3 linked regions of the Macaca fascicularis genome follow. The protein of the gene in region 3 purifies or fractionates together with the protein of the main gene of each other region. This does not show direct contact. Links are inferred from orthologs where the notes say so. Each region holds a gene or a part of one and is shown on either strand. Other genes may lie near its edges. The genes, in order: CD81, PFDN5 and GNB1.

The links.
Region 1: the proteins of GNB1 (region 3) and CD81 purify together in Homo sapiens (co-immunoprecipitation; 4 studies listed by BioGRID and IntAct, with this or other methods). This does not show direct contact. The link is inferred for Macaca fascicularis from reciprocal best matches to the Homo sapiens genes GNB1 and CD81.
Region 2: the proteins of GNB1 (region 3) and PFDN5 purify together in Homo sapiens (co-immunoprecipitation; 3 studies listed by BioGRID and IntAct, with this or other methods). This does not show direct contact. The link is inferred for Macaca fascicularis from reciprocal best matches to the Homo sapiens genes GNB1 and PFDN5.

What each region holds. Positions count from the first base shown.
Region 1 is NC_088388.1:2,297,057-2,301,095, reverse strand, and holds the start of CD81 (CD81 antigen), read right to left. Parts: upstream 2,803-4,039; 5' UTR 2,571-2,802; coding exon 2,505-2,570; intron 1-2,504. UniProt on the Homo sapiens protein: Structural component of specialized membrane microdomains known as tetraspanin-enriched microdomains (TERMs), which act as platforms for receptor clustering and signaling.
Region 2 is NC_088385.1:60,094,411-60,098,756, reverse strand, and holds the start of PFDN5 (prefoldin subunit 5), read right to left. Parts: upstream 2,843-4,346; 5' UTR 2,818-2,842; coding exon 2,746-2,817; intron 2,546-2,745; coding exon 2,443-2,545; intron 2,141-2,442; coding exon 2,109-2,140; intron 274-2,108; coding exon 199-273; intron 79-198; coding exon 1-78. UniProt on the Homo sapiens protein: Binds specifically to cytosolic chaperonin (c-CPN) and transfers target proteins to it. Binds to nascent polypeptide chain and promotes folding in an environment in which there are many competing pathways for nonnative proteins.
Region 3 is NC_088375.1:232,992,544-232,996,111, reverse strand, and holds part of GNB1 (guanine nucleotide-binding protein G(I)/G(S)/G(T) subunit beta-1), read right to left. Parts: intron 1,659-3,568; coding exon 1,496-1,658; intron 1-1,495. UniProt on the Homo sapiens protein: Guanine nucleotide-binding proteins (G proteins) are involved as a modulator or transducer in various transmembrane signaling systems.

The sequences.
Region 1 (4,039 bases), on a different chromosome or scaffold from region 3:
TTTCTGTGAAAGAGGTCAGGCTACCCCAGCTGCCTTCTCCCACAGGCAAGGCCTTTTTCCTCTCTAAAATGGAACTTTTAACAAGCGCCCCATCCAGACACACATTGTCAACCTCCTCCCCACCAGCCTCCCCTGAGCCCACGGGACTGCACTGAGTCCCTCTGGGCCCTGCAGGGTTCCTGCAGCCCCTTCCCCACTGCACATCCTGCCTGCCTGGGCTGGGTTCTCTGAGGCAGGGGTCCCTTTGGACCCTTGGCCAACCCCCACACCCTGAGCCCTTCCTGTACCAAGCCCCCTGTCAACACTCAGGCATGTCAGTGAATCCACCAACAACGCCAGGAGGCAGGCTCATTGAGGGCCCCCACTGCAGACGGGGGAGGCCAAGGCCCAGGACCAGGGCAGTGTGGTGGGGACTCCACTGAGGGAGGCCCAAGCCCATGGCACTGTGCTCTCAGCCACACACCCTGCGACACCACGGTGGAGGGGGGTCCACCAGGGTGGTGCCCACCAACCTCACCTCACCCAGCCTGGCATTCCTGGCTACAACAGAGCCCCAGTGGATGGGTGGGTCCACAGTGACTGTGAACGGACTCAGTTCTCAATGCTTTGCGGGGAGCGGGCCCTGGGGAGAGGAGTGGTGAGGCCTTGGAGACATTTCCTCGAGCCTTAATAACAAGCATCCCTGGGATGCGTCAGGTCTCCACCCCAGCTGCCTGGGAAACTTCCAGGCCCGCCGTGGCGACACTCCCGGGGGACTGCCAGGGACACCTCTCAGCCTGGGCAGGCAGGAGGGACTCACCCAGCGGTGACCCAGCGGTGACGCATCGTCCAGAGAGCAAAAATCCACCTCCAGAGAAGTCCCCTTCCCTGACTCCCCTTCAGCCCCCGCCCCCAGGCCCACACTCTCCTCATCAGGGGATGGGGCTCCAGGGGCCGGCAGAGGGACATCCTGTGTCCCGTGCCTCTCCCACATGCCTGGGCTGAAGCAGGCCACCACTAAGCAACGGCCGAGGTGCCAGGGCTGTGCCTGGGGAGGGCAAGCCCCTCCCAGATGGCCTCGCTGCCCCCACTGCCAGGGCAGAGCCAAAGGCTACAGTGACTCCCACCAGTGTCCCAAGCAGACTGTGCAGAACAGTCGGTCTTGGGGAAGGTGGGATGTGACCGCCCCACTCCTCTCCCAGCTGAGAGTTCAGTTCAGCCTCTGTCCTTCCCCGTCCAAACAATCTCCCTGCCCCAGATCCGCACTGGGATCCTCACAGTCCAGATGGGAAACAGATGTCTCTGGTCCCACACACTGGCTCCGGGGCCATTTTAAAAGTTTGCCCTCCCTGCCTCAACTTGAGAAACACTCGCTCCACTGGGACATCAGCCGAGTCTTCCACGAGAAGGGGGTGACAGCCTGGGGGGACACGGGGAGGGGCTTGCGGTGTCTGCCCAGGGGCGTGGCCGCGGGGAGGTCACCATCATGGACACCCACTCCAGTCCTTCCAGGCCAAGAAGGGATTTCCACCCCCTCCCCAATTCCAACACTGACAGGAAATGGAAACAAAAGGCGAAAGCCCATCAGTCACTTCCCAGCAGCAAAGACTGCGGTCAGGAGAAAGCCATTCTCAGCAGGAGACCCTCCTCCACCCACGTTGGCACCCAAAGATGCCCAGCGTGGGGGCCCCTCTTTCCAAAGCAGCGGCCCCACTCCCAGACCCTGCCATCCACTCCAGGCCCCTGGTGCCACTCTCTTCCTTGTGCCAACTCAGAACCGCGGGACCCCACTCCTGCAAGGCCTCCAGAGCCCTTCTGGGAGGAGGCCTAGGCTGGAACGTGTCTGGGTGAGGAGAGGGAGATCGGCCCCCAGACAGGACAGCCAGGGTGCGCGCACCCCAGCTTTTGGGCCATCCCAGCGGTGACATCCTTTTAGGCGCGACCCCCGGGAAGGTCCCGGGTGGTGACAGCAGACTGGCGAGTTAGCTGGGCTGGGGAGAGAGTGAGGCGATCGCCCCCAACCTCGGGCAAAGTGTGCGCCCCCGCCCCACCATCCAGGGGCGGCGGCCCTTGATGAGCTCATGGGGGCGGGGCGCCAGGAGTCCCGCCCGCGAGCCCCCCCTTCGTCCCCGCGAAGCAGCAGTCCGGAATCCGCGGCCAGGGACCCGCGCAGGCCCCTCCTCAGCTGAGGGGCGGCCGGGTACTCGGGTCCCGGCCCGCGCCCACCGCACCCATCACTATCACTTAGCGGGAACTGCCCGGCGGCCCCCAGAAGCCCCGGCCCGGCCGCAGAGCTGGGCCCCCGCGCACAGAGGCCCCGAAACTCGGCTCGCAGCCCTCAGCCCCAAAGTTGGGGGGCGCGGCGGCCCCGGGCGACCCCCCACCCCGCTCCTGGAGCCCACAGGTGGCCCCACAACTTCGCGGCCCGCGCTGCGCCCGCGGGGCCTAGCACGCGGCCGCGGGACCTGCCCGAGGTGGGGTGTGTGCCCGTCCCCTCCCGCCCTGGCCCCCGGCCCAGCCCTTACCCAGAAGACGAAATTGAAGACGAAGAGCAGGTACTTGATGCACTTGGTACACCCCTCCACTCCCATGGCGACGCGGGCGGCGGGCGGCCTGCGGGGCGCGGGCCGGTCCTGGGAGGCGGGCGGGCCGGCGCGGGGCCTGGCGGGCAGCCGGCAAGGGGGCCTGGCGGGCCTAGGGGCCTCGGTGCGAAGAACGGGGCGCGGGGGCGCAGGGGCGCGGGGGGCGCGGGGCGCCGGAGGCCTGGCCGGATGCGCGGTGGGGTCGCCGCTATCTCCGCCGCTGCGCGCTCGCTCTGTGGCCGGGCGCGCGCCGCGCTCAGCACCACTTATAGGACGCCTCGGTCCCGCCCCCCGTAGGCCCCGCCCCGGCCAGCTCGCGCCCCGCCTCCGGCCCCGCCTCCCGTCGCCAGGGCGCGCATCGGAGGGGTATGGGGGCGCTGCACCTACCCCCAACTTGGCGCGTTTCGGCCAGGACCTCAGGGCCCGGGTGCACCGTGCTGGGCGCGGGAGGCGTCCCTAAGCTGCTGTCGCGCTCCGAGCCCCCGAGGGGGTGGCAGCAGGGCCGCGCCTGAGGACGGGCATGCAGCGTCTACCCAGGAGTGCAGGCCCGGTGCCGGGAGAACAACCTATTCCTCCCTCCCTCAAGCACCTTGGACAATCTGGGAGGGCTCCCCAAAGGAGGTGAGCACCTTGGACAATCTGGGAGGGCTCCCTAAAGGAGGTGATGCCACAGTGGTTGGCTTTGCAGAGACAGGAGGGTTTGCTCACATTGCTCTCCGGGGCTGGAACGGGGCAGGCATGAGGCCCCCTAGTCAGTGTTGGCCTCAAGTACAGGCAACCAATCCCTGTCCCATGGAAGGGAAGAATTGCTGACCCATGCTGCAGGAGTCTGCATCTGAAAAGGTCACTGGGCCCTGAGAGGGCAGCTCCCAGACCAGTGTGAAGTGTCCAGGAGGCCAGAGCCACCTATAAGAGAACCTCCAGATATTGCATCTATTTCATCCACATCCTGGTTGTGTCGTGCCCCAGGGATGCCAGCCTCACGCTGTGGCTCTTCCTGTAGGTGTGGGGCCAGGCCCGCTGCACTTACTGCTTTGGGCTAATGATTCAGAGTGAGGGGTGCTTCCTGCCCAGAGGAAGGAGTGAAGGCCTTCGCAGGAGATGACACACCGACAAAGGTTTCCCATGTCCTCTCCAAGAAAATTGATGGACAACAGGGCTGCGTCGTGGGCGGGAGCTTACCTGGGAACCATGTGGAACCAGGTCCGGAGAACCGTGCTCTAGCTAGCTCGTCTTAGCAAATGTCGTCCAATCCAGTGCTAACTGATAGAACCTTCTGCAATGATGGGAATGTTCTGTAGCTGGATAACCCCTGGCACAAATGACTACTGGGTACTGGAAATGTGGCCACAAGGAACCGAATTTTTCATTGCGTTTCATTGTAATTTAAATTCACGGCCGGGCGCGGTGGCTCACGCCTGTAATCCCAGCACTTTGGGAGGCCGAGGCGGGCGGATCACAAGGTCAGGAGATCGAGA
Region 2 (4,346 bases), on a different chromosome or scaffold from region 3:
AGCTGGTTGGATTTTCTCCATCTGTTTGGTTAGAAAATCTATCTTCCTCTTGAAAAAGTCCTTGGCATCCTCAGCTGTCTACAAGATCAGAGGTGAATGAGGGGCTAAAAGGAGACTCCCTCTGGCCATGTTGCACTCTAGAACTTCCCCTAAATTTCCCTTCCCTGTTCAGAGGGGCATCCACATGCTCTCACTCACCTTCTCTACATAGTACCCAGTTCCCACATCGATGAGCACATGTTCCACATCATGCAGCTTCCCAGGGACATACATCTGAGAAGCAAGTATTAAGGCAAAAACTAGCCCAGCATGAGCCATGATTCCGCCAGCCAGTCTGCTTGGCCTCCAAAGACCCTTTTCCAAAAAGCTTCAAGGCATAAGGACTGAATAATCTGGAGGCCTTAGAACAATAACTCCAAATGGAAAGAAGACAGAGAAGTTGGTTCTTTAAGGAGAAAATGATGTATGCTGGAACACCCTTTTGTTCTGCCTCATCCCATCTCTCACCCTCTAAGCAGTTCTTGCAATTCTTCTCATTAGCCCCATCAGAAAGACTAGATATAATGTTTTCCTACTGTTGTAGAGTACTACAAGTGGAAAGCCAGCCTCATTTCCCTTAACACCCTCAATCATGAAGTAGATAATTCCTACCGAAGTTCATTTTTTTTTTGTTTGTTGAGACAGAGTCTCGCTCTGTCGCCCAGGCTGGAGTGCAGTGGCGCGCTATTGGCTCACTGCAACCTCCGCCTCCCGGGTTAAAGTGATTCTTCTGTCTCAGCCTCCGGAGTGGTTGGGATCACAAGTGTGTGCCACCACGCCCGGCTAATTTTTGTATATTTAGTAGAGACGGGGATTCACCATGTTGGCCAGACTGATCTTGAACTCCTGACCTCAGGTGATCTGCCAGCCTTGGCTCCCAAAGTGCTGGGGATTACAGGCGTGAGCAACCGTGCCTGGCTAATTTTTTTTTTTTTTTTTTTTTTTTGAGACGGAGTCTCGCTCTGTAGCCCAGGCTGGAGTGCAGTGGCCTGATCTCAGCTCACTGCAAGCTCCGCCTCCCGGGTTCACGCCATTCTCCAGCCTCAGCCTCCCGAGTAGCTGGGACTACAGGCGCTGCCACCTCGCCCGGCTATTTTTTGTATTTCTTAGTAGAGACGGGGTTTCACCGTGTTAGCCAGGATGGTCTCGATCTCCTGACCTCGTGATCCGCCCATCTCGGCCTCCCAAAGTGCTGGGATTACAGGCTTGAGCCACCGCGCCCGGCCTAATTTTTTTTTTAACCATTCCCTACTACACTACTATTCCTGTGCTCCTTTTAGCCTGTCAGTTCTCAGACTACAGATTAAAGGTGCCCTACTGCCATAACTTGTTCATTCAAGTAAAACACTGAACAAGTGGACACAATCCAGGTTTCTTAGTGACAGTTTAGAAATGAGCCACAATTAACAGAGCCAACCTCCCTGTTCCTATATCCTCCTATTTTTGTCTATTACCTATATCTTCTAAGATATTAGCAAAGTGTAAACCACCAGCTTTATCTCCATATTAATGTTCTCAAATAGCAAAGGGAAATATTACATCTCAACTATACATACTCCTTGGTGTTCACAAGGCATTAGCTGGATGTTGGTGTGAAGTTAGATAAAAGAGCTACAAAGTGTGTAATAAGAGTACTCTTGGTCGGGGGCAGTGGCTCACGCCTGTAATCCTAGCACTTTGGGAGGCCAAGGCAGGCAGATCACGAGGTCAGGAGTTCGAGACTAGCCTGGCCAATATGGTGAAACTCCATCTCTACTAATAATACAAAAATTAGCCAGTCGTGGTGGCGCGTGCCTGCGGTCCCAGCTACTCAGGAGACTGAGGCAGAAGAATCTCTTGAACCCAGGAGGCGGAGGTTACAGTGAGCCGAGATCGCACCACTGCACTCCAGTCTGGGCGACAGAGCAAGATTCCGTCTTTAAAAAAAAAAAAGGGTGTTATCAAAATCATTGTGGGGAGAGGATAATCTGAAGTACTGAAGTAATCAAAACAATCCCCCTCCCTGCTTTTTGGAGGAGTGAGGGAGAAAGGGAGAAGGCAGCAGGTAGCCGTTCCTGTGGAAAGGATACAGAACTCGTCAGTGGGACAAGTAATTCTTTCCCTGTGAAAGCAATGAAGACAAACACCTGGGGAAGGTTAGTGGCTCCAATGTAAGACGTTAAAGAGAGTTCCAAGAGGGCACAGCACCCACAGACAGTGTGAAAAGAACGGAAACAGGGGCAATAGAAGCAGAGGAACGTCTTGTACATTTCAATTCTAGGTAGGCAACATGCAAAGGGTTCATGAAGCGGTATACGATATGTAATGGATTTTCTCGTTTCAGGTAAGAAAAACTGGATTAGGAGGTGGGACGAGAGAAGCAGGCTTGCCACTTTAGGTTGCCCTCACCCCCCTACCCCATACCCTCGTTGCTCTTGTTCAGCACGTTCAGACAGTCCTTGGCTTCCACATACTTGGTCTGTACCACTTTGAGCTGGGCAATGGACGTGGACAAGAACTCCACTTCCTACAGAGGACGGGTATAGCGGGTCAATGAGAGGGCTATGGGGAAAAGGGAGAGCGGCCGGGGAGGGGGCGGGTCCTGGGACCGGATAGAGGTTTCGCCTGGGCAAGGTAGGCTCCCAACTTGGGACCGGGCGCAAGGAAGTACGCGTGGGCAAGGGGGATGTAGAGCGGGAAAGAGGTGCCTATGGGGCCCGTCACTACCTGGTCCAGCTGGTTCTTGAGCATTTCTAGCTGCGGCAGATTCAGCTCCGTGATGTTAATAGACTGCGCCATGTTGGGAAGGAGGACTAACGAAGAGGAAGTCCCTCGGCGAGCAACGCTCTAGCCGTCCTCTGCGCGTCTCGATGGCGCCAGGAGGCCTCGCTGCGCCATACAGCTCTATGATCCTCCGTCCCGGAAGGGAAGGAGGGGCTTGAATTTCTCAGAGGCTGATCTGTCAGTTATTTTCATAAAATATTCTAAGCCTAGTACAGTAAAGTAGCAGCAAACAGGACTCCTGCCCATAGGGAACTGCAAAATCTTAAAGTTCTCACGATACAACCACGATATTACAAAGTAGTGTATGCTACTCCACGTGGGTGGTATAAGCTACTAGATAGCAGGCTGGGTTGCTATGGTGACGGCTCCTGGGGCCTCGTCCTGCCCCTCTCTACCCCACCTGCTTGTGCTGCCTGCTGGTACCCCGCCAGGTCCGATTTCAAATATTCCTCCCCGCACAGCAGGGAAATGGCAGGGAAATTCTTTATTTTTTATTTTATTTTTTTTTTTTTGAGACGGAGTCTGGCTCTGTCGCCCGGGCTGGAGTGCAGTGGCCGGATCTCAGCTCACTGCAAGCTCCGCCCCCCGGGTTTACGCCATTCTCCTGCCTCAGCCTCCCGAGTAGCTGGGACTACAGGCGCCCGCCGCCTCGCCCGGCTAGTTTTTTGTATTTTTTAGTAGAGACGGGGTTTCACCGTGTTCGCCAGGATGGTCTCGATCTCCTGACCTAGTGATCCGCCCGTCTCGGCCTCCCAAAGTGCTGGGATTACAGGCTTGAGCCACCGCGCCCGGCCATGGCAGGGAAATTCTAAACTATTTTTCCCAGATGGCCTCTGAGGCCGAAAGGCAGGGAAAAAAAAACAAATAACAACAACAAAAAAATCCCTTGTCAGACCGTTCTGAATTGTTCTTGAAAAAATCAGGCATGGCCGGGCGCGGTGGCTCAAGCCTGTAATCCCAGCACTTTGGGAGGCCGAGACGGGCGGATCATGAGGTCAGGAGATCGAGACCATCCTGGCTAACACGGTGAAACCCCGTCTCTACTAAAAAATACAAAAAACTAGCCGGGCGAAGTGGCGGGCGCCTGTAGTCCCAGCTACTTGGGAGGCTGAGGCAGGAGAATGGCGTGTACCCGGGAGGCGGAGCTTGCAGTGAGCTGAGATCCGGCCACTGCACTCCAGCCTGGGCGACAGAGCATGACTCCGTCTCAAAAAAAAAAAAAAAAAAAAAAAAAATCAGGCATTAGATTGAAAGCTTGTTGAAGGCAGGAACCAACCATGTTCTCATCACTGAACTAATTCTTCCCCTCTAGCTATGACCATCTTCCCCCAGCCGGAAGTAGGCTGACACCTAGTAGGATCTGAAAAAGGGTTTATAACCCGTTGCCAGTGAGTTGGTGGGAGAACAGCAAGGAAGCACCATTGTCAACACATAGAGCACAAATTAATCAATAAAATGTTTTGGCCAGGCATGGTGGCTCATTCCTGCAATCCCAGCACTTTGGGAGGCCGAGAAGGGCAGATCACTTGAGCCCAGGAGTTTGA
Region 3 (3,568 bases):
CAAAAATTGGCCAGGCGTTGTGGTGCACATCTGTAATCTACTCGGGAGGCTGAGGCAGGAGAATCGCTTGAACCCAGGGGGTGGAGGTTTCAGTGAGCTGAGATCACACCACTGCACTCCAGCCTGGGTGACAGAGGAGGACTCCATCTTAAAAAAAAAAAAAAGACAATATTAAAAATATGTGTGTGATGCAGCTAAAGCCATGCTTAGAGGGAAATTTAAAAATTTAAGTGATTGTATCTGAAAAGGAAGCAAACCAGTGGCCTACAAATCTACTTTAGGCAGCTGGAAAATTAAGAAGAAGGCAACTCCAAAGTAAGCAGAAGGCAGGAAAGAACCAAGAACAGAAATCAACAATAGCAGCATATCTTTCAAAGGACAAGGTTATACTTGTAATCTGGCCAAAATTAACTTATTTATCAGACTGCTTAATAGGCGTCAAAAGCAGTACTAGTGACTCCATGAACTGATTTCTTTGGCTGCATGTGAAGTGGGCGGAGTGTTACCAAAAAGTACTGGGGCCATAACATTTCTGAGAACAGATAATACAGCCAGAGAGGTAAAATATATTAGAATAGGACATCCTCTTTCAGCAAACGTATGCCTTTCATGATGAATTAGTGTCACAAGTAAACAAAATCTTGGTGAAATAGACTACCTAGCACTTACAGCCACAGGGCTCTATTCTGCCTCATTTGCAGAGACAGGGTCTCACTTTCACCCAGCCTGGAGTGCAGTAGTGCAATCATAGCTCCCTGCAGCCTCAACCACCCAGGCTTGAGCCATCCTCCCGAGGAGCTGGGACCACAGGTGTGCGCCACTGTGCGTGGCTAAGTTTTTCCTTTTTTGTAGAGAAGGGGTCTAAGTTTTGTTGTCCCAGCTGGTCTCGAACTCCTGGCTCCAAGCTATTCTCCTACCTTGGACTCCCAGAATGTTGTAATTACAGGCATGAGCCACCATGTCCAGCGCAAATCCACAGGTTCCTTACTGGTAAAGGCACGTCAGGCCTGTTTTTAGTTTCATTTTCAGAAGACTTCTGGCCATTACTGTGACTTTTATTTGAACCAGTCTCATTAATAATGATTGATAACGCCGGGCGCAGTGGCTGACGCCTATAATTCCAGCACTTTGGAAGGCTAAGGCAGGCGGATCATGAGGTCAGGAGTTCAAAACCAGCCTGGCTAACACGGTGAAACCCCATCTCTACTAAAAATGCAAAAAGAAATTAGACGGGCGTGGTGGCAGGTGCCTGTAGTCCCAGCTACTCAGGAGGCTGAGGCAGGAGAATGGCGTTAACCCGGGAGGCAGAGCTTGCACTGAGCCAAGATCATGCCAATACACTCTAGCCTGGGCGAAAGAGCAAGACTCCACCTCAAAGAAAAAAAATAATAATAATAATTAATAAATGACTGATAAAAGGTGAATATCCAAAGCATATAATGTACTCCAGCTAAACAGCTTGTGTCACTTGAAGGTTATGAACAAGGATGGGTACCTGTGTGTCCTGCCAGCTCACGACTCACGCGCACGTTCCCCTCACGAGTTTTCAGATTGTAAATGGAGCAAATGTTATCCAGGCCACCGCAGGCCACATAGTTCCCAGAAGGGGCGTATGCACAGGTCATGACCCAGGAGGAGCGCAGAGGGATGGCGTGGACCTAATGACAGAAACACAGATGATGCAAACACCTTTATGTTCAAAAACAACACTGACGCTAGGATTATCTCATCTCCAACTTTCATTGCATAGGAGGTAACAGAACAAAATAAGAGCCAAAATTATCTAGAGAGTAATTCCCATGAGTGGCCACTCAGGTGAAGCCTATTAATGAGAAGTCCAGTGCTGCACATGGGATTCAAATTCAATCCACACAATCCAGTTTTACTAAAGTCACGACTTATGATTAGGTGGGGACTTAATAGTAGTGCTGCCTACTCATCAAAACTACTTTATTAGGTGGGGTGCGGTCATTCACACCAGTAATCCCAGCACTTTGGGAGGCTAAATTGGGCAGATCACCTGAAGTCAGGAGTTCAAAACCAGCCTAGCCAACATGATGAAACTCCGTCTCTACTAAATATATCAAAATTAGCCGGGCATGATGGCGCATGCCTGTAGTCCCAGCTATTCGGGTGGCTGAGGCAGGAGAATCACTTGAACCTGGGAGGCAGAGGTTGCAGTGAGCTGAGATCATGTCACTGCATTCCAGCCTGGGCAACAGAGCGAGACTCCATCTCACAAGAAAACAAACAGGCCGGGCGCGGTGACTCACACCTGTAATCCTAGCACTTTGGGAGGCTGAGGCGGGTGGATCACCTGAGGTCAGGAATTTGAGACCAGCCTGGCCTCAAATTGGTGAAACCCCATCTGTGCTAAAATACAAAAATTAGCTGGGTATGGTGGTGGGCGCTTGTAATCCCAGCTACTCAAGGAGGCTGAAGCAGGAGAGTTGCTTGAACCAGGGAGGTGGAGGCTGCAGTGAGCAGAGATCACGCCACTGCACTCCAGCCAGGGCGATAAGAGCAACACTCTGTCTCAAACAAACAAACAAACAAAAAAAAACCCAAAAAAACCCATACATATTAGAAGGAAAACACTGCATTACCCTGTCAAATGGCTATGAACTTATTTGAAAACAAAACTTTTTTTTTTTCTTTTGAGATGGAGTTTCGCTCTTGTTGCCCAGGTTTGAGTGCAGTGGCGCAATCTAGGCTCACTTGCAACTTCTGCCTCCCGGGTTCAAGTGATTCTCCTGCTTCAGCCCCCTGAGTAGCTGGGATTACAGGCGCCTGCCACCACACCTGGCTAATTTTTTGTATTTTTAGTAGAGAATGAGGTTTCACCATGTTGGCTAGGCTGGTCTCAAACTACTGACCTCAGGTGATTCACCTGCTTCAGCCTCCCAAGTGCTGGAATTACAGGTGTGAGCCACCGCACCCGGCCGAAAACAAAATATTTTTACGGAATAACCGAAATGGACATTACTATAATCTATCCTGCCACATCTCTCCCAGTGTGTTAGATCTGCTGTAATGAATGTAACCATTTATACACATTTAGTATTCTTTAGTAAACTGAATAACATCTTTTACGTATATGTTGGGACCAATGACAATACTTTTTTTTTTTTTGAGACGGAGTCTCGCTCTGTTGCCCAGGCTGGAGGAGTGCAATGGCACCATCTCAGCTCACTGCAAGCTCCGCCTCCCAGGTTCACGCCATTCTCCTGCCTCAGCCTCCCGAGTAGCTGGGACTACAGGCACCCGCCACCGCGCCCGGCTAATTTGTTGTACTTTTGGTAAAGACAGGGTTTCACTTTGTTAGCCGGGATGGTCTCGATCTACTGACCTTGTGATCTGCCTGCCAGAGCCTCCCAAAGTGCTGGGATTACAGGCATAAGCCACCATGCCCAGCCAACAATACTTTTTATTCAAAACAGTACAATTTGGATTAAGTCTTGAAAATAACATACATTACACTTTAAAGTATGATGATCTCTCCTAAAAAACTAATAATTAAATGAAAAGTGATACTTCTGCACTCTATAAATAAAACATGAAACTTCCC